Linked DNA regions of Tamandua tetradactyla. The protein of the gene in region 2 purifies or fractionates together with the protein of the main gene of each other region. This does not show direct contact. Links are inferred from orthologs where the notes say so. Each region holds a gene or a part of one and is shown on either strand. Other genes may lie near its edges.

Region 1 (7,641 bases), on a different chromosome or scaffold from region 2:
CCCCAGATTATATAAAATAAGATTAAACTTTAGGATCGACAGTTCCTTATAATCTCCCCGCCTCAAAAGAACCAGGCTTTTTTTTGCTTTACTCTTCTATTTTGTTTTACTCTTCTTTAGAACACTAACACATAGTACAATACCTGGCACACAATAGGTGTTCAGTATTTATTTTGTAAGCCAAGCTTTTCCCTGAGCTACTACTAGCTAGAAGACTTAAATATTAGACAAAACAAAAACAGTAAAATCTCATCATTTTACATTTGTGGTCTTAAGCATTTACAATGTAGACAAAGGATTTATTAATTAAAGCGTACAACCAAATTTAAGGGGAACATTTATGTTACTAAAATATTTCAAGTACTATTCAAATTATCTAGTACATTAATTACAATTCCTATCTACTGAAATGGGTCTAACTGACCTTTATTGAGCATTGCTTTGTCAGCCTAGTTGGAGTCATCAAATGCAATAGAAAGCAATAAGATCAGAGGTGTACTATAAAGGACACTGGACTAGGACCTAGACTACAGCCCAGGCTCTGCTAATAATCAGATATATAACCTTGGGCAGTTCACTTTCTCATTTTTGGGTCTTAACTTATTTGTTAAAACAAGAGAGCTGAACTACTCCCAGGGACCTTTCCAATGTAATTTTTAAATGATTCTTATCTATAAATATTCTAATTTGATTTTCTGATAATGTTATGTTGTTTGATGATCAAGAAACATCACATTTTCTAAAACCAAGTAAAGTCTAGCAACAAATTACTTTTACTATCTTACATCAAGAGCAATAGGAGAAAACCAAAGGAGTAACATGAGCATAATAATCAAGCCTGCCTTGCCGTTTGGGGATACATGAGCCACATTGGATTTTACAACACAAATCACTGATACACACATATACATAAATATACATATATAGAGACACGTACCATTGAAATGTATTATTTATGTTGATTAACCTATGTATGTGTGAACTTTAAAACTTGATTTTAATTATAAAATTAATACTTGATAAAGGTTAAGAAATCAAAACAGTACATTAGGCCATCCATTTAGGAGTGGAAGTGCAATGCAAGTCTTCCACTCCTCCCACCCTTGACGTGTAGCAACTATTGTTAACATTTGTTTGTGTATCCTTCAAGAAATTATCCTAACAAATACATGTATACATGTTTGTGTATGTGTATAAAATGTTTTTAAACTAAACCGTTGCCCCTTCTTGAATGATGGGGAAAAAAAACACGCACAGGCTTGAGACTGTTTTGAAAGAAGAACTGCTAAGAGCTAGGCAGTCGCTGGCAACAAGAAGTATTCTCTTCAGAAATGTGTACTGAATTGAACACATTTCATTTTCGTGCCTGCAGGATATGTGGGGAAGTTGCACAGAAAGAACCATAGGCAAAGAGCCAGAAACCTGAGTTCTAATCTAAGTCGTGGAGAGCCAATGGGTAAATCATGAAATCGCCTCAGATTCCGGTTTTGTAAAAACGTAACAGAGCTGGGCTAAGATCCCTTCCAATTTTAAAATGCTATAATTCTAAGATGGCCGTCTGTAACAGTGTTCTTTTGAACTGATTTCAACAAATGTTATTAAGAAGGAGAAAGAAACAGTATAGCAACGTTTACTGTTACAAAAGTAAATTTCTCTGAGTCCTTAACTATCAAGCTGTGGTTGTGACAGAACTAGTGATATAACTGTATTTGAAAGCAAAGTAGTAGGTTATTAAAACCTGATAGGTTTTTTTTACAAAGATTTGACGTTTGTTTTCTTTTTTTTTTTTTTTTGGAGGTGGGGAGGACCATTGCTTATTTTTAGCAATAACCACCACCCCTATCCCCCAAAGAAAAAAGCTCCGTGCACTATTAAGAAAAAATAATGAAACTGAAGTTAAATTGACATTTTGTTTTACTCACAGAATATGCTGGAGCGGTGACTTGGGCACCAATGATTAGAATTACTAGCTAATTTTCTTTTCCGGAAGCTCTTTGGCCCCTATTATTTCTGTTTCACACGCCCTGGCCAGACACATTCCACAGGCATCAGGTGGGGGGACTTGCGGGAAATCCCTTTGATCATAAAAAAAAGTTCTTTAGCAGTCACGGGGTTCAGGGAGGCAGCGCCGCCGGCCTGAAGCTATACACGTTCGCCTTCCTTTGGCCAGTTCCTGGACTGCTGCCTTCCCGCCTTCCCGCCCTCCCCGTCAAGTTCGCTGCCTTCCCGCCCTCCTCCGCAAGGCCCAGTCGGAGGTGGGGAGGAGGGGAGGAGGGGAGGAAGGAGGTGAGCAGGAGGGGAGGAGGGGAGGAGGGGAGGAAGGGGGTGGGCAGGAGGGGAGAAGGGGAGGAAGGGGGTGGGGAGGAGGGGGGAGGGGAGGAGGGGAGGCTAGTGGAGAGGGAAACCCGCAAAGGCAGTACTCACCCGGCCTGGAGCGCCAGTCACGACCGCCTGCGGCACCCAGGGAGGTCCTGAGGGGAGGATCCCTAGGAGGGGCACCACCAGTCCCAATATGGAAATGCCAACTCTGTTCTGCAGCCAGGCCTGGGCCTAGGAGAAGGAAACGGAAGTCTCTCCGTCTCCCTCAACCGCATCCACCAACCGGCCCATCCCCCGGAGGAACCCGAGTCGGAGAGTCCAAAGTGCGTCCACGTCAGAGCATCAAAGAAACACTGGGCGTGGTCCAGCGGTCTCAAGGTCCGAGCCCCACTGACGGGGCCCCGGCAGCCAGTCCTTCCTGCCCGCCGCACCCCAAAAACTCCCGCCCCCGTGGAAGGTCAGCCTCCCGCCCTGTAAAGCCCCTCCTTCTTCCCCCCTCCGCCATTTTTCAACTTACACACTCGGGCTGAGGTGACCTTCGATTAGCGCCGCGCCCACGCGGGGCGCCAACACGGTCACGACACTTCCCTGAGTGGTAAGAGCAGCCAGAAAAAAAATATCGCCCAGTCTCGGCTCCGACCCCAGCTGGGAACGGGAGCCTGACGAACCTGGCGCACATGCGCAGTGGGTACCGCGCGGTGCCCGCCCCCTAGTTTAAGCGTTTCCTGCTTTAGCCTACAGGATGTTTTATTTCCCACGGTTTTTACCTGCCGGGCTCTAGGGTTAAGGAGTAGCCGAATAGAGATAAAGTAATGGACAAGGAATACGGAGAAGGGAGAGAACGTGTCTAATTCTTACTATAGACCAGATGCTGTGCTATATATATGTTCTTGTCATTTTGACAAACCTATGAGGTAGGCACTCTCTTACTAAATCCATTTTACAGAAGAAACTGAGACCCAGAGAGGCAAACTATCCCAATATCGCTCAGTAAATAAAAGAGAGAGCTACTATTAGGATAAGCTCTGTTTCCAAGAAGGGAAGAATGAGAAGAATAAGAAAGGGAGACATTCATTAAGAGAGAGAGAGAAGAAAATAATTTAGGAGGTGAATGGAAAATGAACAGGGGAATAAGAAAGCAGAAGGAAGCAGAAGGAGGGGAAACAAAGGAAGTGTAAGTACATAATGTGCTGATCATACCCTGGATTTATTTCAAATATGCTGTAGGATTGTCAGACCTACATCTGAATTTTTCTTTCAAGAACTCAGGCTCTCTAACAGGCTAGTGTGTTGAGATAATAATTTCTGAACCAGGATATTTAATGTCATGGAAAATATCAAAAGTATCGCCAGCATCCTCAAATGATGCTGTCTCCAATGAAAAGCAGACTTGGAGGGAGGAGAAGAAATAATTTTCTTTTTGGTTCTTGGGCTTTTGCTACAGTTGATATTATTCTTTCTGATCCTCTCCCACTGTCACAGCCCTGGTAGTCTCACATCTGACTTAGTGCAGTAATAGTAATTGCATGCACATGTTTATCTCATTTAATTCTCACAGCAATCTAATGAAGTATAACTATCATTACCCCATTGTACAGATAAGAAAACTGAGGTTTAAAGATATTAAGTGACATACTGAAGGTCACACTGCTAGTATGTACGGGAACTGGCCCAACAATTTTAAACCCAGATCTGTCTGATTACAGGTGTATCTAACCGTTACCCAGTCTCCTGACTTCTCTGTCCCTGGACTGGTCCCCCCAATTCGGCTTGCAAAAGGCCCTTTGAGCTAAACTCTTCAATACTTCTGCTTCCAGGATAATGTTAAAACTGCTCAGCCTCATTTTCACTCTCCCCTTGGGCACCCTACTGTTAGGCACGGAGTCATTAAGGAATCCACAGCAGACAGCCAGTGGAGGCTTAACAGATTTATTGAAGAGAGAGAAAGCAGAGAGAGTAGGTAGACAGGAGCCAGTGAAAGGAAAGAAAAATGGCTGGCCCTCTTTGTTCTGGGAGCTGTATTATAAAGGGAAAGTGATGCCAGGAGAGGGGAAGGGTGCCCACTAGGTGGTGTGTGGTCCCTTGATTGGATGGGGGCTTGTTGACTTAGGGTATCATAGATTACTAAGGTATTCTCCTTTGATGTACAACTGCATGTATTGGGCAGGGTGAGGTGCTGGTAGAGGAGGGTGTTATTAACAGAAACAGATTATGACTGTATTTCTAGTTATCTGGAATGTCTTCATTTGCCTGTAGAATACAATCCCAGCCAGTATGGTAATTGGTTCATATCTGGATCCTTGGACTTCCAAGGATGCTGAGGAGGGGGGCTGAAGGGGCTCTGTGTCAAGAATTCCTTTTGCTCTTAGAATTTTTTTTCTGGGACCTAATACCTTCCTTATCTTCCAATAAAACAAAACTACTCAATGTCTCCTAGCCCATCCCCTGCTTTCCTATCTTCCATTAATTTGTTCAAACTTATCCCTCTGCCTAGATGAAAAGACTGCCCCTATGCAAAGCCTTCTCTAGGTGTCTTAGCTGAAGGTTATCTCTTCCACCTCTGAACTCTCTTGGCGCTTGAATTTGTGCCTTTGTTATGAAGCACAGTGCTTTCTCTCATGCAGTATAGCTACTTGTTTACAGTTCTACAGGTTCTATAGTTCTAATGCCATGAAAATCTCCAAATTAAAGCAAGTCTATACAAATGTCCAAACCAAGGCACTATCAAGAGGTTACTGTCACTCAAGAAAGGCCGAAGAGTTCAGTGTTTCTCTTTCAATTGGGAAGGCACGTGGCCAACCTGTAGACAGCCTGCTAGCTTTCTCTTGAGGCTTCTTGCTGCATGAAGCTCTGTGGGAGAAGTTTTCCTTCTTCAGCTCCAAAGTTTGCTGGCTGGTGGACTCTGCTTCTTGTGGCCATGTCGTTCTAAAGCTTTCTCCAAAATGCTTCCTCTTTTAAAGGATTCCAGTAACCTAATCAAGACCAATGTAGAAGGGGTGGAAGCATGTCTCCATCTAATCAGATTTAATACCCACATCTTCATGGAGATAACCTAAACAAGTTTCCAACCTATAGTACTGAATAGGATTTAGAAGAAACTGTTGCTTCCACAAGATTGGCGAAGATTAAAACATGGCTTTTCTGGGGTACATAAATCCTTTCAAACTGGCACAGTATCTCTGCACATAAAATACCCCAGGTATATCTGTCTTTGCTGTTCATATCTGTAAATTAATAGTTCACCCAACATGCATTTACTGAGGCTCTGGCATGTTCATGAAATTTGTATTCACTCTTTTTAAAAAAAAATCAGCAAATTTGAGCACCTACTCTGTGCCAGACACTGTTCTAATCACTCAGAATTTGTCAATGAGCAAAACAAAGATCCCTGTCTTCTTGGAGTTTATATTCTAGCAGGTGTAGAGGGAACAGAAAGACAATAAATAAATACAATAATTAAATAAATTATATTCATGTTAAAAGTGATAGACGTCATGGAGAAAAGAAAAATTAGAGTGTGGAAGGAAGACTGGAAATACTGACAGAAGGAGTTGTAATTTTAAATATGGTGGTTGGGGTAGGCCTTATTGAGACACTGACATTTTAGCTGAAAAGACATGGAGGAGGTGAAGGACAAACCATAGCACTATCTGGGGAAAGTGTTCCAGGCAGAGTGAACAGCGAATGCAAAGGCAGGAGAGCTAAAGGAACAAGGAAGAGAGTAGCAAATGAGGACATAAAGGTAAAAAGGGATCAAGATTGTACAGGGCCTCTGTATTAGTTATCCACTGCCATGTAACAAAATGTCCTAAAATTTAGTGATTCAGGAGTAGCTTAACTGGGTGATTCTGACTCTTGGTCACAAGAAATTACAGTCATCTGAAACATGTGGCTGAAAGACCTTTTCCGAAGGTGGCTCATTCACATGGTTAGCTTGCTGGTGCTGGCCATAGTAGGGAGAAGTGAGGGAGAGGATTTAGTTTCTCTCCCTGGGAGCCTCCTTATCTGCTTTTGTAGTATTTTTAAGATAAGATGGCTAGTTTCCTCCAGAGCAAGCAATCCAAAGGAGAGCAAGCAGAAGGCACAATTCCTTTTACTATCTAAACTTGTAAGTTATATGCCATCACTTCCACCGTATCCTACTGGTCACACTTTCAGCCCTGGTTCAGTATAGAAGGGAACTATGCAAGGTTGTGAATAGCAAGAAGCAAAGATCATCAGGGGTCATCTTGATGGCCGGCCACCACAGTTTTGCAAACCATTATAAATCTGTGACATTTACTTTGAGTGAAATGGGGAGCCATTGAAGGGATTTCAGTAGAGAAATGACAATGATCTGACTTGCATTTTATTAGGATAGCTCTGGCTACTGTGTGAGTAGACTGGAGAGGGCCGTGGGTGGAAGCTGGGTGACCAGTGAATAGGCTATTACAGTCATCCAAGAGAGAGTTGGACTACAGTTGTAGTGGTGGAGTTGGTGAGAATTGGTGGTATTCTGGATGTATTTTGAAGATAGAGGTGACATGATTTGCGATGGATTGCATGTGGGGTATAAGAAGGAGGAATTAAAAATGACTAGAAGGGTCTTGGAGGAATTAAAAAATGAGTTAGACATCAGTCTTGTCATAAATGAGCTTACAACAGAGGGATCACTATCTTCTTTGTATAGTATAACAGGTATACAAAGCAAAGAAATAAAAAAGCAATAATTTTCAAAGCACTTTTCAACAAGTGGTTATAGGAGAGATCCCAGAGTTTGTAATGAGCTACCATACAATCCTCTCATATTTTTCCTTCTAGCTCCTCCAGAATATAGGAGGCTAGAGGGCTTAAATATTTTTTTATCCTCATATTCAACTTTTTTCCTTCTTTTTTGTGAAAAATAACTTATATACAAAAAAAGCTATAAATTTCAAAACACAGCACCACAATTAGTTCTGGAACATATTTCAGAATTTGACATGGGTTACAATTTCACAATTTTAGGTTTTTACTTCTATCTGTTCTAAAATGCTGGAGGCTCAAAGAGATATCAATTTAATGAGTCAGCATTCAGATTCATTTGTTAAATCCTGTCTTCTATGTATAATTCCACCATCACCTTTGGTCTTTCCATACCTCTCTCTAGGGGTGTTTGGGCTATGGCATTTCTAATTTTTTGGTATTGGAAGGGTCTGTCACTAATATGGGGTAGGGAGTGGAACTATCTGATGTTCTGGAGAGGCTGGGCTAGGTTTCATGACTTATCTGGACCAGGGACCCGTCTGAAGGTTGTAGATTTCTGGGAATTTAATCTAGTGCCTGGAACCCTTGTAGAATCTT
Region 2 (7,606 bases):
GAACGGACATTCGAGAATAAACTTGAAATATGTCATTGGTAACAGAGTTCAGCAGGAGTTAGAAACAGGGTAAGACAATGGGTAATTGAAGCTGAAGGGATACAGACTGTGCAACAGGACTAGATACAAAAACTCAAAAATGGACAGCACAATAATACCTAATTGTAAAGTAATCATGTTAAAATACTGAATGAAGCTGCATCTGAGCTATAGGGTTTTTTTTGTTTTTGTTTGCTTGTTGGTTTGTTTGTTGTTGTTGTTTTTTACTATTACTACTACTTTTATTTCTTTTCTTTATATTAACATTTTATATCTTTTTCTGTTGTGTTGCTAGTTCCTCTAAACCGATGCAAATGTACTAAGAAACAATGATCATGCATCTATGTGATGATGTTAAGAATTACTGAGTGCATATGTAGAATGGTATGATTTCTAAATGTTGTGTTAATTTCTTTTTTTTTTCTTTCCGTTAATAAAAAAATAAAAAAAGAAAAAAAGAAAAAAAAAGAAAATGTTAGGGGGAAAACAGAGAGAGAGAGGCATGGGCTCTAGAGAAACCATTCACATCAAGAACACCCTTCTCTTTTGCCTCATTGTTGTCATTTCCTTGCTTGTCATCTGAATGTTCAACACTCATCAAAATAAGAGCTGGTGTGTCTTCCACACCTTCCGGCTGATCACCCTTGGGAAGTGGCCGTGAACACTGACCCTTTGTGGTCTATGGCCACAGTTCCCTGCTGCAATGTGGGCTGGTTTTCCAGGCTCCAGCATCCCAGGGGGCCCCTTCTCCCTTCAGCTGTGTGGGATCTCTGGTTTCTGTGTCTCACAGCTACTTCTTGGTTTATTTCCTCCATAAGCTCCAACAGCTTTAAGGGAAATAATTTAGCAAATGGTGTGTGGGAGGTAAAAGCTTCTGAGAACTCTTACTTGTCTGAAAATGTCCTTATTTTGCCCTCCCACTTGATCAATAGTTTGGCTATGGGCTGAATTCTTGGCTGAAAATCATTTTCCTTCAGAATCTCCAGGGCCACTGTTGGGGAAACCTGAAGCCATTTCATTTCTGTTTCTTTTGGCCTGTGTTTTTCCTTTTGGAAGCTCCTGGGATCTTATCTGCTCCCATTTTTCTGAGGCTTCATAATGATGTACTTAGGGGGCTGGTACTTTCAACCTGTAAATACTTGTCCTACAGGCCTGGAGAATTTTCTTGAATATTTTCACTGGAGATATCCTCCTTTGCTATTTCTTTGTTCTTTCTTTCTTGAACTCCTTATTATTCAGATGATTTGCCCTCTGGACTGTTTCTCTCATGTTCTTACAATTTCCTTCCTAATCTCTCTGACTTTTGAATCTGTTTTCTGGAAGGTTTCTTCAACTTGCTGTTCCAGCCTTTCTATTGAATTTTTTTCATTTCTGTTAACTTGCTTCTAATTTCCAAGAGTTTTTAATTTCATTTAATTTAAAATCTTCTGAATGCTCCTTTTAAAAAAATAATAAGAATAAATCCCTTCTTATTCATGGATGAATTATATTCTTTTATCTGAAGAAGTTGAGAGTCTTTTTTTTTTTTTTTTAAGTTTTCTTCTCCTTGCCATGCTTTGTTTTCCTCAAATTTTATTTATTTTGACTTTATATTATTTTGACTTCTAGTTTCCATTCTTGAGGTTTTCCTCAAATATTTGATAATCTTTGGTGATCTGTTGCTGGTCAAAAGTGAAAAACTAAAAGTTGGCGGGATGCTTTAAGGGGTTCGGAAGGCTTCCCATGTTGTTCTCTCTTTGGTGTTGCCAACAGGGCAGGAGTGGCAGGTTCCCCAGAGAAGAGCCCTCCAAACCCCTACCTGGAAGGAAGCTGTCAGCATTCTTAAGGCGGGGGAGAAGGAAGAAGGGAGGTTTTCAAGATACAGCCTAGCATTACTACATCCCTTTGTTTTTGTTTTGTTATTGAGGCCCTATGCCTGAAGTCCTCTGGTCCTGAGACCCTCTGGTTGCCTTCTTCTGAGAGGAACCTCCAGTCTTTCTATAGGAGGAGAGGAGGGCAACCACCCTGCTCAATGCATGGTTAAGAGGTTATGTAGGTTGCTCCATCCTTCTCTGCTTTCATCCCATCTATCTTGTCCTACTCTGCCTTCACCTCCAACGGTAGGTACCTGGTGCTGCCAGGTGAACATTCTCTGGCGTAGATCAGGTGTTGGCTATCTCAGGTGGCTGTCTACCCTGTCTACCTTCCCAACGCATCTCATTCCAGCTGCTAATAGCAATTGTCTTCTTCCCTTTTCCCTAAAAGGATTATGCCTTAAACAAATCCCTTTACTGAAATTCTAGTGGGGTTTTGGGTGGGAGATACTTGCATCCAACCTACGTCTTAATCTGTAAATGAACATAAGTTCACTTGCCTATTGACCACCTCTTCCACTGATTTGTAGATTCCTCATCGTAGGGATCTGTTTTGTCCATTTCACACTTTGGAAGCCTAGACAGTGACTGGAACAGAGTGGGCACTCAGCAAACACATTAACAGAGGACCCTGAATGCTTTAGACAGGGCATAGGATTCCATATATAGTAGGCACCTGATAAATTAGTAACTATACAGCACATTCAGAACACACATGGTCTAATACAGCATTTGCTTTTATTAATTTTCTTTAAACTTTAAAAAATTATTATTTATTTTCATGGGGACAATTACAATTAGACAAGCTGAAACTTGGAGAAGCATGATTACTCATTTTTAAATGGACTCATTTTCATATGCGGATTGTACATTAGTTTTGTTACCTTATGGTCACAGTCGAACTTCCTGTATGCTTTCATTTTATCAAGCTGGAGAAATAATGATCTGGATTTGATTGTATCATATCTTGCCTCAAAGACTCATGTCATTTCAGAATAAAGTTCACACTCAAGGCACTCTGCAAGTCAGCCTGATTCTGGACTTGGAGCAGGGCAAACCTCTGGCTTTCTCTGGGTCACATCTGAGGGTGGCCTACTCCCTTGCTAGCTCTGCAACATTTGATTTACAGGACTTTGTTCTCTCTGTGGGAAACTCTTCTCACCCCATCAACAGCCATCAAAAATCCTACCCAAACCCATCTTTCAATTCTCAGCTCAGTTGTCATGTCTTCGATGAAATTCTTTTTATTAGCATGATGTCTCTTCTGTGCTTTGCCTCCTGATAAACATATCTGTAGCCCACCTTAGCACTGACGAGTGGGACTGATATCTCAGCAACTGTCTCTATCTTATTCGTTCCCTACCAGAGCATTATGCAACAGCAGCACAATCAGCTGTTCATTTAATTGAATAACAGATGTGAGACCCTGCCATTTTATTTGCCCCTATTCTAAAAGACATGAAGGTAACTACGCCAAGGAGTTTAGATTTGTCGCAAATTCAGCAGAAATCTGTGTAAGCAGTGACAGAAATGGGGATGTTATTCCGCTACTACCCTTGAAATTTCAACTACTCAAGGCTGATCTGTATCGACAACACAAAAAGGTATCCTTTCCCTGGGAACACATTCATGTTGAAATAATTACAAGATAAATACGGTCTTTTTTTTCTTCTTAAATATGTGTGCAGAAAAGATCTGATTTCAGAAGACTGTTACACGGGTGGGCAACAGAGTGAGGTATAGAAAGAGAAGGGCCCACAAGATGAAACATCAGAAATCAACTTCCCAGGAGGGTCCACTCTTAACCAGGGAGCGTAACTGCCTTCCAGTGGGGCAACGCAACAACACGAATCGAGGTTTAAAAACACTCACCCCTACTGATGCACTAACTCCATTTATGGGAACACAATCTAAAGCAACTAAGCTATAGACAAAGATTCTTGCACAAGCAAGTACCTTTCAGCATTGCTTTTTAGAGACAATCCATCTGCCCCACAATACTAGAACTGGTTGAATTCATTACGGTATAACGGAATAGGAAGCCGATGTTAACGAGGTTCTAACAATGACTCAGGGCGATCCTCTCAATTTTGACATGTTCATTATGTATATAAAAAATAATTAATTGGAAACATGTCATCCGCACATTAATGATGTGCCAACATCGTCAACGCAAAGGAACTTTGGTTCAGTTTTCTCCTCAGAACTTGGTACAAATCATAGGAAGTAACAGGCACGCAAAACATTAAACATAAGAGAAAGTGCATACGTGAGAAAAGTTTACATTTTTGGCCAAATGAACCTTGGTGATATCTGCAACTGCGTGTTATATGCATCTTTCTTCTTTCTGGTTTTGGACTCCGAATTTCCTAAAAGAACCTTCTGTCATGTTAACTATCACGTAAAAAGGATAATAAAAAGGGGGGGGTTTGTCAACGCCCTTCAGATGGTCTGGGACAGCTCTCAGAGAAAAGCTGTTCCCGGGAACTCAGGACTTCCTTCGAAGACTAGTCCCCGGGCCAAGACCCGGTCAGCGGCGCAAAGATGGCGGCCAGCCCCGTCCGTCCGCGTTGAGAGCCGAGCGCTCCCGAGCGTTCCCGAGCATTCCCGAGCATCTCCGAGGCCGAGAGGAAGCCCCCGGAGCGGCCCCGCCCGGGAGCCTAGGAGCGGCGGCGCCAGGGCGGGGGAAGGGAGGCCGGATGTGAGTGGAGCGGCCATTTCCTGTTTCTCTGCAGTTTTCCGCCAGCTTTGGGTGGTGGCTGCAGCTGGGCTTTGGCTGCCAGTGCACTGAGGGCCAGGCGGCGTGGACAGCGGTCCCGGCACCCCGCGCCCCGCCGCGCCGCGAGCCTGCCGCGTGCCGCGCCCGCCGCTCCTCACCTCAGCGTCCGGTCGCCGCCGCCGCCGCCGCGGCCCAGCGAGCGGCCCAGATGCAGGCCATCAAGTGTGTGGTGGTGGGAGACGGGTGAGTGCACCGGACCCGGACGGGCCGGGCGGGGGCCGCGCGCGGGGGCGGGCCTGGCGGAGGCCGAGGTCCGGCCGGCACCGCGGACTCGCGTGGGGCCTGCGCCCGGCCTTCTCTGAGGGCCGCGGCGTTCCCACCTTCCGCGGGGCCCGCGGGGCGCCGCGTGCCTAGTTCCGGCTTTTTTTTTTTTTTTAAGTGGGTGTTGGGAATTGAGTGCCGGCCGGAGGGAAAAGGGGACCCCACCCTCCCGCTTTCTTCCCGAGCCCCGCGTCCCGCCAGGGCAGAAGTCACCGAAAGCCTCTCCCCGCCCTCCCCGCGTTTGCACGGTGATTAGGTGGCGTTTGGAATTTGCCTTTTTTTTTTTTTTAAGCGCGCTCCTTTCGTTTGTCTTTTTCGCCTCCCGTGTCCCGGTGGCGGCGGGTAACGCTTGTCAAGTTAACACTGTTGGATCACTGTTTCCGGGGCTGCTTTGGTGACCCTAAACTTGCTCTGATGAGTGGCTTGTTGGCCACTCCTAGAGCTTTAGAGTCACGGTGTTTGCTCTTTCTGGGAGAAACGTTTAAGAGTTTAGCTGTGAAGTAGCTGGATGTGATTACGACTCTTCTCTTCATTGAATATGGGCTAAAAAGGAGGGGAGGGAGTGCGTTAGGGTGTTAGGTATGGGATGTAGCAGAGCAAGCTCCCTGAGCTGGGTTGCCCTGTGTGACTCAAGGCATTTCTTTTCATTGCTGTCCGATGGTCACAGGCCCTCGAGGAAGACAAGACTTGACTTATGCAGTTTTTTCCCTCCCCTCCCGTAGAAACAAAAATCTCAGTGTAATCCTAGCAGAGTTGTGCGTGTCTGCATGGCTTGTGTAGTTTTAGCGTTAACAAGGAAGCTTGAAGAACTACTACCAGTTTCGTCAAACTCAGAATGCAACTGGTACGTTTCCCAGCGTGCAAAGTCGAGGGAATTGTTTTGGCATCGTTCTTCTTTTTGATTAGTGTTCTCCATACTTGTCATTGGTACCAATTTAGCTCTTAGTCTCTAAAGTGATTTGTGATTTCCCAGCTTATTTAGATAATTTTAGGCATTCGAAGTTGTTCCTCTAACTTATTCAGATGCAAGAACAATTAGGCAACTGAATTTTTTTAAGCCGCCCATCTGACTGATTTGTCAGACTCACAAGTGTGAAGAATTCTGAACACTTCATGGTTCTATGCATATAATTAAAAATCGTTTCACTCAGAAATATATTTTTTAACCTTGCAGAAGACAGCTTTACTTTCTGTCATTTAGGGTGGAAAAAAAAGTTCATTTAGTTGGTTTAATAAGGAAAACAAGATTCTTTTACATGAAGTTTTGATTCTTTTGCATCATGAATGAACTCAACAGATATCACTTTGTCTAATAATCATTCTTAGTTATCTGCATTTCCTTTAAAAGTTAAAAAGGCCGAATCGGTAATGTTAGCATATGAAATAATACAGACTAATTTTTTTAAGGAAGCAGTGAATTGCTGATAATTCAGTATTAATAGCCATAGTATGTAATATTCTCAATTTAAAATGTCAGAAACTAAAACATAAGCGCTAGTAGGTATATTTATTTAATACTAACGGGTTATGGATCTAGATAAATGGGTATTGGCTTATTTATTCTAGTCAGATACTTGTTGAAAACTTCGAGAATTGAATCCTCCCATCAAGTCAAGTCCCCACCTCACCATTTACTTGTGGGGTAATCTTGAGCAGGTCATCTCCCAAGAGAGGTGCCTCAAGGGAAAGTTGTGGGAATTAAATAAGAAGCTGGATAGTAAGCACCTTGTCGGTTCCCGCCCCATAGTGACTGCTCAGGAAGTGCCAGCTACCATTATTCTTATTCACTGCTAGGTCGGGGAGGAAGTGTTAGGCAGAGTTACTGACGTTGAATTTTTAATCCTTTATTTGATACTGATTTGACTAGGGCCAAGCAGCATTAGAAGTGAAATGTACCTTTCAAGAAAACCCCCACCAAGCCATAATACTTTAAATTAGAGATAATAAGTGCCAACCATTATTTCAGTGAAAATCTAGATCCATAATTCCCTATCCTAGAAATATTTGTTAGCTTCTAATCACATGTCTGATGATATAGTTGGAATTTTCTTTTTATTAAAAAATTGTGTGGTTTTAAATCTTGGGGGGGCTGAAGAAGTAACGTAATGTGGAATTTCAAGCAATTTAAAGGCAAATTTTAAGTAATAAAAACAAATTGAGAGAAAAAAACAACGAAACAAAGAAATTTTGAAAAGCCAGAAAGTAAAAATAAACCAAATTGAGGTTTCTCAAACTGCAAATTTTCTTGTTTAAAAAATATTCTTAGGGATTTTGGTTAAAAGCTACTTTACAACCATATTATAACTAGGCTCTGTCAGCCTCTAGTTTAATTCTTTGTTCCCTGTATAGCATTGGGTATAAAACATAAGATAAATTTGATTTTTTTTATTCTCTTAAGATAGTCCTTCCTGAGTACCTTGCCACCTTTATTTTGGGGACCTCTGCCCCAAGATTTCCCCCCAGTTTTAAGATAAGATAACATCTCACATTCACATATGTATAAACAACCATTTTTACTAGTGTTGTTTTGGCTTTGGTTGACTGGAGGATGGGAGTGAATGAGTTGAAACTTCCTTCGTTTCACTCACACAGAATGGTTTCTGGATCGGGCTACTAGCCTGGTGTCTTAACTTAGACATTGCTGTCCAAGAATTTTTTTAGTCAAGCATGATAA
Region 3 (7,140 bases), on a different chromosome or scaffold from region 2:
CCATAAGCCCTGTATATCTCTCCACTTATTTGGTGTTGATATCTTTCATGAGCATTTTATAGCTTTCAGAATATGGATCCTTACATATTTTGTTAGATTTAAACCTAAGTATTTGGGGTTTTCTATTGAAAATGGTATTTTTTTTTTATTCTGCTTTCCAATTATACCTTGCTAGCATATAAAATAAGACTGGCTTTTGCATGTTGACCTTGTTTCTTGTGATCCTGATAAATTCATTTACCAGTTTTAGGGGCTTTTTCCTAGATTCTTTGGATTTTCTATACAAATGTTAAATGCAAATAGGGATAGTTTTACTTTCCCTTTCCAATCTGTATATCTTTCATTTATTTTTCTGACCTTATTCCACTGGCTAAAATAAAGTTTCTTAATTATGTGAATGTAATTAATCCATGCTCTATACCTATGGCCAATAAGGACCAGCTAAATTTTAGTAACAAAGATAGTGACAGTAGCTGGAACATGTTAGTTTCTTAAAACTTCACACTATAAAATGTTTTTCAAATATAAAAGCTCTAATAAAACATAACATTTGGGGGCAGCTTGACAGCGTATTTCAAACCTTTAATTTGTCCTTATAAGTGAAGTGTTTATGTCTGAGTAAAAGACTGGCTCTGCCACTTCCCAGGCAGATAACACTGGCCACACACTTCATTTCACATGTCAGTTTTCTCATCCATAAAAAGGAAATAATAATTGCACATATTTTGGGGGCTGTGAGAATAGTCAGTATGCAAAGTACTGAGAAGAGAGATCAGCAAACTACAGCCCAATGCCAATTTTTTGAAACACAGTTTTATTGGAACACAGTTACACCCATTCATTACATATTGTGTGGGCTGCTTTGGTGCTACAAAAGCAGAGACAGATACCATATGGCCTTCAAAGAGTTAAATATTCACTATTTTCACCTTTACAGAAAAAGTAGACCCCAATTTAGTACAATGCTTGGAGCATTAGTACACAAGAAATGCTAGCAACTATTATAACCAAACTTTACTGCCAGAATAATCCTGAATATGTATGTAAAGGTTTAGGCACAAGCATCGACTATAATGGTAAAAATGGGGAATAATAATAATATCAATTAACATTATTTGATTAAATTATGGTATATCCACACTATGGAATACATAGAGCCATTAAAAACAATGAGGGAAATCTGTGCTTACATATACTACATGTAAGGACCCCTAAGATCTTCTAAGTGATCCAAACTCATTAAGTAATAAAGTATGACAATATATACAATATAATCTCATTTCGTTAATAAGAAAAACTGTTCAGAAAAGGCTATATACTTCTGTTCAAGCACTGAGCGATTTCACTTTAAAATGTATGTAGTCCTGTATTCTTTAACCTTTTTTAATGAGCTGGAGTTTTGCAACTTTTTTTCAGCACTTAGAACCATTATTTTAATCTCTTTCAGGCTGTATACTATTTAGAGCTATAGTTTTCAGACCTTGCTTTAAATTTGTCCCTAAGGGACAAATTTAGAGTATGAGTGACTCTCAAGTGCATTCTAAATGAAATAAGCCAGACTTAAAAGACGGCATACTGAATTATTACTTTTATATAGCATTCTGGAAAAACCACAACTATAGGGAGGAAGAAGATGGGACATCCGCACCAGCTTCCTACTGAATTCTGACAAATCAGTCCTGCCCAAGGCCTGCACTTAAGTCATGACTATTTCTCGGTGCCTGTAGACCTGTTCACAGGAACTGCAGGGATAAGGGGCAAACGTGGAGACCCTTCACTTGTCCAGCGGACGCAAATGGTTCCCACCGTTCGGAGTTCCAGCCTCCAGCTGAATGAGGCTAGGACTCTAAAGCACAGTCATCAAGCTGCTTGCTGTACTTAACAGCTTGTGAGAAAAACTGCAATCTGCGTTGCAGTACCGGGTATCATTTCTGCCTCAATCAAGAATCATTTACGGAATCACGGTAGAAAACGGCCAAGAAATCCCACTGGGCTCACGGGAGAGCAAAACATTGTTAAGAGTAGGTGCCCTCTACTTTCAGAAAATAAATCCAAAAATCTCAGTGGCCCACGGAAAGCACAAATAATTCAAAACAGGGTTTAGTAAGCAAGCACTATCGATATCATTTAGACATAATCCAGACACCGACCTCGGTTGGCGCTTTTCTCACATCCAACCCACGCTGGAAAAATTCAGTGCCGGCATTCCAGGCTGAAAACACTCGGATCGTCCTGGCTGTGCCAAATAGTTCTACCCACGTAACTCTCCGGGCTCCTTAACAAAGCTCAAAACTCATCTCTCCAAGAACCCTCCTTCCCTCGGAGAGGTCGCGCATCAAAACTGGTGGTAGTCCTGCGCACCCTGCGGCGTAGGAGTTAACAAGCGTCTGCCCCTTATTTTCCAACAATCACGTGCAAAACACCGTTTTCCTTCCCCATTGGAGCCCCCGCCACGTGCCAGGCGCCTACCGGGTACTGGGAGAACCTGGGGGCCGGGACAGCTGGGGCCGGGGACGCTGGCGTCTGGGTAGCTGGGAGATACGGGGGCATCAGGGAGCCGAGGGGCCTGAGTGCCAAGGGTTCGGGTTGGGAGAGAGCTAGAAGCCGGGGTCCTGGGGGCCAAGGGATTGGAGGAGCCTGTGGACAACGAGTCTTGGAGGCCTGCATCAGGAGGTTCGGAGGGGGACGGGCAAAGGGAAGTCCGTGGTCCCATAGTCCGGAGGCAGTCTGAGTGGACCCCCCAGGAAGGCCGCGCCACCGAGGGCCAGGTCGCGGCCGCCCTCGGGGCCCGGATCTCGGCACCGCAACACCTATCCGGGAAGAGATTCTGAGGGGGCCCGAGACCCCAAATGGAAGCCGCGGGCCGGGGCGGGGACAGCGACGATCCTCACCTGGGTCCGCGGCGGCTCGAGGGTCCCGGTCGGGCCCTGCGAGTTTCCTGGTTGAGTCACTCGGGCGGACCGGGAATGCGCCAGGAAACGCCCGGCCTCCTCCCCTTCCTCCTGGGGCGGGGGCTCTCCCGGCTCGGCCCCTTCCTCCCGGCGCTCCTCCCTTCACGCTCCGGCCGCGCCCTGGACTTCCCGGTCCCTGCCGCCTGGCGGGCCTGGGCTCCTGCTTCCGCGCCGTCCGCTTCACACCTCCCTCCTACCAGCCTCTCTTCCCCCGCCTCGCCCCCACCCGGCCCTCTGCTCGCTACACGCATCGCACTCACCACCACTCCTCCCCTCACCCTCTCTTCCCCCTACCTAGTCCCCCGCACCCGCCCAATCCGGCTAAGCCGCACTTCTCTTTCCTAACCCTTTTACCCGGTCCCTGGAACCAGCCGGGCTTCTTTCCTCGCGGTTGAGACGCTCACACCAGACCCAGGTCGGCGGGAAGGAAGCACCCGAGCCGCCCCCGAAGGTGCTCTCCAGGGCAGAGAGTCCTGAGGACCACCAGCCGGCATAGGCGGTATCAGCTCTGAAAGGACAGGGGCATACAGGCTGGAGCCACCCAGCTCTGGACGCTGAAGGATCCAGGTCTACACCTCCCTTCCCCGCCCCTCAGGGGTCAGCGGGGTCAGAGTGGTGGGTGGGATGCACTGCAGATGGACTCACTACTTCACCGTCAGGATGGAAGCTAGTACAACTTAAGTTCCAGGTTCCAGGTACAACAGGTACACGCTTAGGACAAAATGAACATGAAGCGCCCCTGCACCGACCGATCTCTACAGCCACATCTCCCCTCTGAGCCATGGACAAACGCGTGCAAAAGCCTATGGGAATGGCCAGCCGAAGAAAACTTGACTAGAATTAGTCCCAAAAGCCAGTCTAGAAGCAGGTTAAGTAACGCTCATTGTTCTAGATTGCGTGCTCCCAGAAGGCGATATACCAGAAACCTAATGGCTTTAAAAGGGGGAGTTTTTTAAGTTGCAAGTTTATGTGTTCTAAGATGGTGAAAATGTCCAAATTAAAGCAAGGCTACAGAAATGTCCAGTATAAGGCATCTAGGGAAAGATACCTTGGTTCAAGAAGGCAGATGAGGTTCAGGGTTTCTCTGTCAACTGGAAAGACACATGGGCAACATGGCGACATTTACTAGCTTTATAGGTTTTTTGTTTCATGAAGCTTCTCCGGGCGTGTTTTCCTTCTTCGTCTCCAAAGGTCTCTGGCTGCTTGAGCTTTTGTGGTTCTCAGGGTGCTTTCCAAAATGTTTCCTCTTTTGGATCAGGATAAAAAAAACATGGCTTTCCTAGGGTACATAATCCTTTCAAACCAGCACACTTATCAAAAGGAGTGAGTTTGTCACACGCATGTTTAGGAGAAAAGTTGCCTAAATCTTCCCTTGTTCTTATGGAGAAGTATGATGATGGGCATCAGGAACCCCAGTTCAGCCATTAGGTTTATGAAAATCACAAAGAAGTCCAGTTATGCCCTGGCTGTGCTCTGATTAATGCTAGAAATTACAGGGATGGAAGCTTACAGGAACAGAGTCTGCCAAATATCTAAATTTCTAGAGAACACTTTCTCTAGAAGCTTCTGGGGGTCCCTCCTGCTCCTGCAAATATGGACTTTGAGTGACTTTCCAGTTTCCAGTCCTCCCATTTTCAAAAAGCAGATGACTGCTTTTCTCTGCCCAGGGCTGTCTTAGAGGTAATTTGAAAGATTTTGTTTTATTTATTTTTTTTTTAATTTTTTTATTAATCAAAAAAAAGAAAATAAATTAACACAACATTTAGAAATCATTCCATTCTACAAATGCACCCAGTAATTCTTAGTATCATCACATAGATGTATGATCATCATTTCTTAGTACATTTACATCGATTTAGGAAAAGAACTAGCAAAACAGCAGAAAAAAATATAGAATGTTAATATAGAGAAGAGAATTAAAATAATAATACTAATAATATATATATATAAAAAGGAAAAAGAAAAAAACAAAAACAAAAGATACAAACACACAAACAAACAAAAAACCATATTTCAGGTGCAGCTTCATTCAGTGTTCCAACATAGTTACATTACACTTAGGTATTATTGTGCTGTCCATTTTTGAGTTTTTGCATCTAGTCCTGTTGCACAGTCTGTATCCCTTCAGCTCCAATTACCCATTATCTTACCCTGTTTCTAACTCCTGCTGGTCTCTGTTACCAATGATATATTCCAAGCTGATTCTCAAATGTCGGTTCACATCAGTGGGACCTTACAGTATTTGTCCTTTAGTTTTGGGCTAGACTCACTCAGCATAATGTTCTCTAGGTCCATCCATGTTATTACATGCTTCATAAGTTTAGTCTGTCTTAAAGCTGCATAATATTCCATCGTAGGTATATGCCACAGTTTGTTTAGCCACTCGTCTGTTGATGAACATTTTGGCTGTTTCCATCTCTTTGCAATTGTAGATAATGCTGCTATAAACACTGGTGTGCAAATGTCCGTCTGTGTCTTTGCCCTTAAGTCCCTTGAGTAGATACCTAGCAGTGGTATTGCTGGGTCGTAATCCATTCTGCCATTCTATGTCTTTTGATTGGGAAATTCAGTCCATTAACTTTTAGTATTATTACTGTTTGGATAATATTTTCCTCTAACATTTTGCCTTTTGTATTATATATATCATATCTGATTTTCCTTCTTTCTACACTTTACTCCATACCTCTCTCTTCTGTCTTTTCGTATCTGACTCTAATGCTCCCTTTAGTATTTCTTGCAGAGCTGGTCTCTTGGTCACAAATTCTCTCAGTGACTTTTTGTCTATAAATGTTTTAATTTCTCCTTCATTTTTGAAGGACAATTTTGCTGGATATAGGAGTCTTGGTTGGCAGTTTTTCTCTTTTAGTAATTTAAATATATCATCCCACTGTCTTCTAGCTTCCATGGTTTCTGCTGAGAAATCTACACATAGTCTTATTGGGTTTCCCTTGTATGTGACAGATTGTTTTTCTCTTGCTGCTTTCAAGATCCTCTCTTTCTCTTTGACCTCTGACACTCTAACTAGTAAGTGTCTTGGAGAACGCCTATTTGGGTCTATTCTCTTTGGGGTGCGCTGCACTTCTTGGATCTGTAAATTTAGGTCTTTCATAAGAGTTGGGAAATTTTCAGTGATAATTTCTTCCATTAGTTTTTCTCCTCCTTTTCCCTTCTCTTCTCCTTCTGGGACACCCACAACACGTATATTTGTGCGCTTCATATTGTCATTCAGTTCCCTGATCCCCTGCTCAAGTTTTTCCATTCTTTTCCCTATAGTTTCTGTTTCTTTTTGGAATTCAGATGTTCCATCCTCCAGTTCACTAATTGTAGCTTCTGTCTCTTTAGATCTACCATTGTAGGTATCCATTGTTTTTTCCATTTTTTCTTCTTTGTCTTTCACTCCCATACGTTCTGTGATTTGTTTTTTCAGATTTTCTATTTCTTCTTTTTGTTCAGCCCATGTCTTCTTCATGTCCTCCCTCAATTTATTGATTTGGTTTTTGAAGAATTTTTCCATTTCTGTTCGTATATTCAGCATTAGTTGTCTCAGCTCCTGTATCTCATTTGAACTATTGGTTTGTTCCTTTGACTGGGCCATATCTTCAATTTTCCGAGCGTCATCCATTATTTTCTGCTGGTGTCTGGGCATTTGATCAGATTTCCCTGGGTGTGGGACCCAGCTGGTTGAAAGCTTTTTCTGTGAAATCTCTGGGCTCTGTTTTTCTTTTCCTCCCCAGTAGGTGGCGCTCGTGGCGCTCGTCTGTCTGCACGGCAGTCGGCCCGGGAAACCGCATGTGGAGGGCGGGGGGTGTCGCCAGCCGCCCTGACTTGGGGGAGTGCCGGTCCTAATTGCCCAGCTGGCCCAAAACGCCAAGTGTGACGGGAGGGCCCCGCTATCCAACGTTCCCAGTCAGACCGGGGAGCCACGTGCGTGGAGGGGACCCCAGTCGCCAGCCGCCCCGGCCGGGAAAACGCGCGCCCCTCGGGTAGCTCACCGCAGCAGATTCTCCCTGCCCGTTCAGCTGTTCCAGAATGGGGTACGCTGTCTTTTTGGTCTCTGTCGTGACTCCGGGAGCTGTTTTGTATTGTTTCTGTTTCTTTAGTTGCTTTTCTGGAGGAGGAACTAAGACCCGCGCGTCTTACTAAGCCGCCATCTTCTCCGGAAGTCCTGTTTTATTTTTTAACTGCATAG
Region 4 (7,436 bases), on a different chromosome or scaffold from region 2:
AGTCAAAGTAACCTGCTGGACAAGAGGGCAAAGCCCACCATCCGGAAAGAGGTTAAAGTCACCATAGGGATATAGGCCAGAAGGGAGGTTACCTTTTGGGGGGCACAAGGCACTGGGGAGCTGGAAATGCGCAATGTCTCGATGGGAGTGCTGGTTATACAGGTCTAAAGGCGGGTAAAATTCTGCAGGCTGAACGCTTAAGGCACTTTACCATATCCGTTACACCTTGATTAAAAAAGAAAAGCCCACCATTCACCCCACCCCTCCGGCCATGTTATGAAGAGACAAATGAACCCGCAAGCTCTCTTGTAACATGTTCAAGGCTGGCAGCACCTACAGCAGGGGCACCCCGGGGTCTTCACTCCTGTGCCTGGGGCTGCCAAAGCGGAAAGTGTGAGATGGAGGGTCTCTGGGCTGAGAAGCAGACCCTGGAGAGCTGTCCCCAGCCTCTAAAGGCTGGGTGTGTGGCAGGGTGGGCAGAGGAGAGGGGGTCCCAGATCCCTGCCCCTCTTTCGCACTCCCAAGGGCAGGCAGGGACACAGATGGCACCAGACAAGGTGGCCCAGCAGTCATACCACGTTCAACTGCCTCACCACATACTCACACTTGTCCCCTGCGTACCCAGGCCTGGGAGCATTGCGCTGTCTGGACTCTTACACTGTACCTCACTTTTCACCTCCAAGATCCCCCCAAATTAAACAAACACAAGAAGACCACAACCCCATCTCCAAGACTAATGGTGCAGGACCCCTATCATAGTGAGGGGGTGGTTTCTGGTGCGGATTCCACATTGATATCCTCACCCCTCTTCCCTGGGCTGATACAGAACCCTGACTGAGAATGGTCCCTCATGCCAGGGCCAGCGTCACAGGGTGGGGGGGACGGGGAAGCCCCAAGCCACCAGCTGAGGTCTACACAAGCCTCCAAGCACTTGGGAAGCACCTGTGTGTGCCAGAAACCACACAGGTGCTGGGGTGAAGTGACAACAAAGGCTCTGTCAACACCCTGCCCACCTCGCCATCTTTACCCGTCTCATCGCCTGCCTCTTCCTGACCTGTATTCTGGATCAGAAGAAAAGAAGGTAACCAGGGCACGAATCCCTGTGTTGGACAAGGACTGGGGATAGAATAGAAGCTGGGCACTCCAACACAACAGACGTGCACCCACCTCATCCAGCCCACTGGGCACCCAGAGGCCTCAGGCATGCCAAGTGTGCAATACAGTACAGCTGCCATGCTGATGCTGCCCTAAGCCCCTCTGCTCAGTTAGGACCACGGATTCGGAGAAGGGAGGAGGGCCCTCAAATACCATTTCTAAGCCAACTTCTTTGCCTTCCAGTTGTGGAAACTAAGGCCCAGAGTGAGGGAAGTCTTGCCATGGGTCAGAGTAAGCTGGAAGCAAAAGCAACACTAAGATCCAAGCTTCCATTACTGGGTGTTTGCTCAGACCCCACAGCCCTCCTTGCTGTCTCCAGGCCTCCCGCCCAGTCTATACCCACCCAGCAGAGATGCAGAACAGCCTGGGACAGACAAAAGACAAGTTTCTATCCCCAGGTCTGCCAGTGGTTGGGGAAAGACGGTCATGGTTGCCAGCCAATAAGGGGAGAGAGCACCCCCCTCCCAGCTCCTGCAGGGCCCTACAAAGCATGTCATAACTACCCACAAAGCACCCTGTGTCCATGTCTCTGCCGGGAACACACCCACCATTCCCAAACACACACACCAGAACCACCGGCGCATCTGTGGGGCTGAACCTGTTGGAATCTGGGCCTGTCCAAGGGATGGCTGAACGCTATGGGCCCATAAAACAGGACTTTACACCCTCACACTTAATTGTGCCCACATAGCACCAGGGGTTCACAGACCTGCCCCCCTGAGTCTGCCCAGGGATTTCCTCGAGAAAGAGCCTGCCCATTTTCTAAAGAGAACATGGACAAGGGTCAAGCTTCCTTCCTCAAGCCAGCTGCTAGCAGCCCCTCACAGGCAGTGTCCTCCCACATGACAGGAGGCGCCTCTCAGGTCACTGTCCATCACTTCCTCATCAGGCCAGGGGGATTCACACCAGCCGAACCTGACCCTGAAGGGAAGGGAAACACCAGAGTATATACTGCCAGGGGGCAGGCCAGGAAGTCAGCTTAATCCAGGAAATCTGGGCACCTCTTGCCACTGCCCCCCTACCTGATTCTGCTCGGACTAGGTGGGCCAGGGGACCGGGAGGGGTCCGGGCCCAGGCACTAGTGTCAGGCCTGCTTTCCCAAGCAGGCCTCACCGGAGAGCAGGAAAAGCTGAGGTTATCTGTTCCCAATCTCCAGCAGGCCCCGGAGATTCCTTAGGAACTGGAGGCAGGACATCGTATGAGTAGGTATCTGCTTCCAAGAAAACAGTATCCAGGCCCCAACGCATCTGCCCAGCTCTCTGCCCTTTGCCCTCCGCTAACCCCGCAGGCGCACAGACCATACAAGCAGCAGGTGCAGGACGCGGAGGTGGAACAGAGATGACAAAACCACACTCGCCCCCACCTCCTAAACCCTCCGGCCTCTGCCACAGCCATCCTGCCATCCCAGGCTGGCGCTTCCGTTTGGATACTGAGATGGAGGTGGGGGGGTGGGGGAGCTAGCTGCTCGCCTCCCTCAGACCGAAGGGTGGGAGGAGTCGCCGGGAATGCCCTTCCTCGCTAGTCCACGGACGCGAGGGGCCCGGGGACCCCAGGCCGCTCCTCCCGCCAAGGACGCGGCTCCGCAGTGGCCCTGGTGGGAGCCGAGGCCGGAGGCCGCAGCACCCCGCCCCGCCCTCCGGCCCCGCACGGCGCTACAGCCAGGCCCCGGCGCCTGCCCGGCGGCGGCCCCGGTGCATGGTCCCGCCCCCGGCCCGGCCGCGCTTACCCGGAGCGCTGCAGTCCGCACACACCTCCGCTCGCGGCCCCTTCCGGGACATCCTCAGCGGCGAAGCGGCCGCAGCCCTCTGGGCCAGCGTGGGGGGCGCGGGCGGCGGGCCCGGGAGGCGGCGGCCCCTGCTGCCCGGCCCGGCTCCGGCAAGGCCCCGGCTAGGCTCAGCGCGCCTGGCCAACCGTCCGCCCCCGGGGCCGGCCCGGAACCCGCGGCGCCCGCCTGCCCGCTCGCCCTCGGGCGCCCTCCGCCCCGCGCGGCCCCGCGCCGCCCCGCCGCCGCTCTCCGCTCGCTCTCTCCGCCCCCTACGCGGCTCCGGGCCGCTCCGGCAGGAAGCAGCACAGGCCCTGCCCACCGGGGGAGGGGCAACTGCATCCCCGCCCCGCCCGCCGCGCCTCCGGGAGAAAGGAAGCCGGGAGCGCGGGCGTGGGGGGGGGGCGCTTAAAGGGGCCGCAATCGCGGCACGGCCGCTGGCGCACAGCGTCGCCTGGGGCCGAGTCTCTGCTCCGGTGCTCCCCAAGCCCGGAGGCAGTGTAAGTCACCTTCACAGCCCTAACCCCTCCACTTTTGGGGCTAGGGGTGGCTCAGGGGCTGCTGAGAGCTGGGGATGGTGAGTCGGGGGTTGGGTGAAATCAGGAAAGAGAAGGAAGGAGATGGAGGCCGAGGTCCTCCTCCCTGTCAAAGGGCTGTGACAGTTCTCTTTTGGGGGAATGAGGGATGCGTTCTGGGCCACCAGATGCCCACGCCAGAGTGTTTGGTCACACTCTTACTGAGTACGCACACCTGCTCACAGTGTAGACCCCCCAGGTGCCAGAGAGGGTCCGCAAGGTAACCCGCTGCCTCCGGGCTAAAGAATAAATCTTGCCTCACCATGCTTCCATTCAGAGGAAAGAAACTGGGTGGTTCTTAAAGACCGACAGAGGAGGGGACCACCCGGCTGGTGTGCAGAAATCTCTACTTGTCATTTGTTTTATGTATATCCACCTTGTCTCTGGGCCACTAGAGGTGTGAGTCCAGAGCGTGCATATAACATATGGGGCCAGTTTCTTGTGATTGCCTCTTTCTGGACTTCACACGGATGCTGTGCAGACAGGCCGAGGCCCATGGAGTGAAAGTGCAGGCCACACGTGGGCGAACCCCGTCACTGACCATGCTCCCCCATACACTGTGCCCAGCTTGCATCCAGCTCCCATCCCTCCAGTGGCAAGAGGTGTGGGGAGAGAGGGCAGAGGTGCTCAGGACTAGGCTTGAGGGCCAGGTCTGGGGCGCAAGGTTAAGGGAACATTCCCCAAGCAACAGGGAGTCCTTCTCATTAACTGGGGTGGAGGTGGAGGGGGTGTTCCTTGGGCCGGGGTGCCAGAGTTGGTCGATTTTTCCCAGTGGCACCAGTGCCGGCAGTGATTTGTGGGTGGGCAGGCTGCTTCCCTGGGGAGACAAGTAATTCTCATGAGTCACCACCCGAAATATATGCAAAGCTGCCTCCATCGCTTTTTGCGGCAGCCTAGATTGACAAGTTTGCTTGAAATCGCGATCCACAGGGTATATTTAAAATCGCACCTTAAAAGAATCTCTTGCAAGCCTCCCTTCCCCCTATAGGCAGCCAGCCGCTCAGCTGCCGGGACTTCTGCCAGCAAAGATATCTCGCAGGCGGGGGTTGGGGGAAAGGAGGGGTGCACCACCTGCGGCCCCGTACCGCGCGGGCTCAGAGTCCACGGCTTTGATGGTGATAGGAGGTGCTGCGTGGTCGCCCGGATCCTGCGAGCAGCCCACGAGTGGTGCCCGTCCGTTCACCCCGAATCGACCCCCCCCCCAGCTCTGGAATTTCATTTATTAAATGTCAAGGCAGCTTCTGGCAGCCGGGTCGTTTGGCTGTCTTTGTTTCTCTGCTGTGTGGGAGCGTCTCGAGCACGTGGCAGCCACAGCGCTCAGGACGGTTTGGTGTCTCTGGCCGCCTGGGGTAGGCTGCCCCGCTCCAGGCTGAGCCCCTCTACCCCTAACCCTACCCACCCCTACCCCAGGCTACCGCCCTGTGCTCCCGGGCTTTGCAGGAGGATGATTCACCCCTATTCCAGCCTCATCTCCAGGTTGGCCGGTGGACTACCTGGAATTGACCCAGGCACGGATCCCATTCCCCAAACTTTGTTACAGAAGCCCCCGGCCCCTCCGCGGCCGAATTTCTGGATTTGGGGCTAGGAATAAAAGGACTTGATTTCTCTGTGGAGATGCTGCCACTCCAGGATGAAGGACTGCTAAACTAAAAGGAAATCACACACAAGATTCTAAAAATAATTTAATGAGAAAATGTACAAGAATCTACCCGGCCACTCCTAGCCGCCCCTCCCCCTCAGCAGCCCCCTCCCCATCTCCGGCCGCAGGCACGACACTCTGCTGACCTCTGGTGGTGTAGGAGGGCAGCGGTCCCCAGCGGCCGGAGACGCTAGCTGGCTCCTCCCAGCCTAGAGAAAGGGGCGCGGCAGTTCGCTCCTCCCTCATCCCTTCCCACCGGGGTCTGGCACCGCAGGGTGTGGAGGAGGAAGGAAAGACCACACAAAAAAGCCTGAGAGAGGAGCGGAGAGTTTACAAGCATTTGCTGGCACCTCCCACACACAAACACTTCTTCCATAGTTGTTCTAAGAGGGAGTGGAATCCCTTCTTTCTGCCTTATTCTAAGGTGGACTCCAGAAGGCCACCTGCTTCTGGTGTCCGCCTGGATGGGGGAGGGAGGGGCACCGATTCGAGGACCATAATATCCTGAGATCACCTAAAGACGTAATATCCAGAGTCACATTTTAGAGGTAAGTGGTTCCAGAAATGCAGAAAATTTAAGCAATTTACCTATGGTCACATATTTAGGCGTTTGAATTCGAACTCAGTTCTGTCTCACAGCACAGTTCTTGGGCTGAACCTCCTTGGGTTGGGCCTCTAGGTCCTTCCAGCTCTAGCAACAGGGAGCCCCGGAGGGCAATCAATTCCACACTTACCACACCCTCTCCGAGGTCCCTTCTGGCAGGGCCTCTCTGCCGAGGGGTCATTCAGTCTCTGAAATCAGTCACTTCCTCTCCTGAGGGGGCCACCCAGGCTGCGGAGCTGCCACCTGCTGCTTTCCCTGCTCAAACCCACTCTGGTTCTACTTAAGGACAGTGCATTGGAAGGGACTGTCCTCCTCGCCCCAGTGAGCCTTCACTCCCCGCCACCCCGTCAAATATTTAATATTCTAAGAGGAAAGGTTGGACTCCTCAGAATACTTCAGATGTCGGGCGTCTGGCTGCTCCAATAACTCTTGGTACTGATACCCCACACCTTTCTTAGGGATTTCCCTTTCGGCCACTTTTTGGGAGTCTGGATCCCTCCTCACGTCCCCTAGGATCCTAGGACCCTGAAGGCCACATTCCCTCCCCCTGCTGTCCCCCAATGCTCAAGATGGGTCTGTACCCCCCCATATTCTGCAGCAAAGGGCAAAATGCAAACGGGTGGGGGATGCTTCCCAGGCCACCTGGCATCAAGACACTCCTCCGTTTCGGCCAGATCCGACTCCTTCCTCACCATTTCTAGGGAACAGAAAGAGCGCGCTGGACCCTTTCCACCACCTGCCATTTCCAGCTCCACGAGGCGGACTACAAGCCCCATGATGCCGCGGGGCCGGACTAGAAGAGGCTCTGCCCGGGGCACCCGGGTCCCCCTCCTCTTTTCCCCGCAGCCCCGCAGCCCAAGCCGACCGCTCGGGCATAGGGCCGGGCTATGCAGCTGTGGGGAGCGGAGGGCTGCGGGCCCGCGTCCCTGGCGCGGCGGCAGCGGCGTCCGGGGGCCGGCTCCCAGTGCGCCCCCGCGCCCAGTGCGGGCGCCTGCTCCCTCCGCCGAGCCGCGTCTTTGTGTGCGGGGGAGTGGGAGGCGAGGCGCGAGCCCGCGCCGCGCCGCCGAGTGCCCGCTCCCTCCCCGGGCGGGTGGGGGCCTCTCCGCGCCGCCCGTCGCCGCCGCGACCGCTTCGCGAGGACGCCCGCCGCCCGCACCGCGCCGGGTGCGCCGCCCCCGCCCGCCGGCGCCGCTCGCACATGCCCGAGCCGCAGCCCTGCAAGCAGGGAGCGCCGCCCCCCCCGCCCCACGGCCCCGGGCCCCGGCTCCGGCGCCGTCCCTCCTCCCCGGCCGGGCGCCGCGGCCCCGGCATGAGGAGCGGGCGATGATCCCCGCCAGCGCCTCCGCCAGAAAGGGGCCCGAGGGCAAGTATCCGCTGCACTACCTCGTGTGGCACAACCGCCACCGCGAGCTGGAGAAAGAGGTCCGCGCCGGCCAGGTAAGAGCGTCGTCGGGACGCCGCGGGGACCCCGCGGCTGGGCACGCCCGCCCGGCGTGGGGAGGGGGCGCGGCGCGGGCTGTCCCGCCTCCCCGGCGAGTTAGAGATTCTTTGTTCGCGGCCGCGGCTTTTGTGTTTGTTGACCGCGAGAGGTTGATGGGAGCGGCCCCCCCCCCGCCCCCTCCGGCCGGGACTGGCGACCCTCAAGTGTTCCGGACCCTCCTAGATTGGGACAGGGGACACTGTGCCCCTCCTCCCCCGGGC

What was found.
Region 1: the proteins of RAC1 (region 2) and XIAP purify together in Homo sapiens (affinity purification with western blotting; 3 studies listed by BioGRID and IntAct, with this or other methods). This does not show direct contact. The link is inferred for Tamandua tetradactyla from reciprocal best matches to the Homo sapiens genes RAC1 and XIAP.
Region 3: the proteins of RAC1 (region 2) and CYFIP1 purify together in Homo sapiens (pull-down; 3 studies listed by BioGRID and IntAct, with this or other methods). This does not show direct contact. The link is inferred for Tamandua tetradactyla from reciprocal best matches to the Homo sapiens genes RAC1 and CYFIP1.
Region 4: the proteins of RAC1 (region 2) and GIT1 purify together in Homo sapiens (affinity purification with mass spectrometry; 3 studies listed by BioGRID). This does not show direct contact. The link is inferred for Tamandua tetradactyla from reciprocal best matches to the Homo sapiens genes RAC1 and GIT1.

What each region holds. Positions count from the first base shown.
Region 1 is NC_135353.1:41,719,313-41,726,953, forward strand, and holds the start of XIAP (E3 ubiquitin-protein ligase XIAP), read right to left. Parts: upstream 3,003-7,641; 5' UTR 2,837-3,002; intron 2,777-2,836; exon of another isoform or gene 2,551-2,776; 5' UTR 2,425-2,550; intron 2,287-2,424; exon of another isoform or gene 2,124-2,286; intron 2,076-2,123; exon of another isoform or gene 1,923-2,075; intron 1-1,922.
Region 2 is NC_135349.1:5,559,260-5,566,865, reverse strand, and holds the start of RAC1 (ras-related C3 botulinum toxin substrate 1), read left to right. Parts: upstream 1-4,598; 5' UTR 4,599-4,819; coding exon 4,820-4,854; intron 4,855-7,606. UniProt on the Homo sapiens protein: Plasma membrane-associated small GTPase which cycles between active GTP-bound and inactive GDP-bound states.
Region 3 is NC_135338.1:74,226,103-74,233,242, reverse strand, and holds the start of CYFIP1 (cytoplasmic FMR1-interacting protein 1), read right to left. Parts: upstream 3,008-7,140; 5' UTR 2,892-3,007; intron 1-2,891. UniProt on the Homo sapiens protein: Component of the CYFIP1-EIF4E-FMR1 complex which binds to the mRNA cap and mediates translational repression. In the CYFIP1-EIF4E-FMR1 complex this subunit is an adapter between EIF4E and FMR1.
Region 4 is NC_135332.1:52,835,444-52,842,879, forward strand, and holds the start of GIT1 (ARF GTPase-activating protein GIT1), read right to left. Parts: upstream 3,012-7,436; 5' UTR 2,934-3,011; coding exon 2,882-2,933; intron 1-2,881. UniProt on the Homo sapiens protein: GTPase-activating protein for ADP ribosylation factor family members, including ARF1.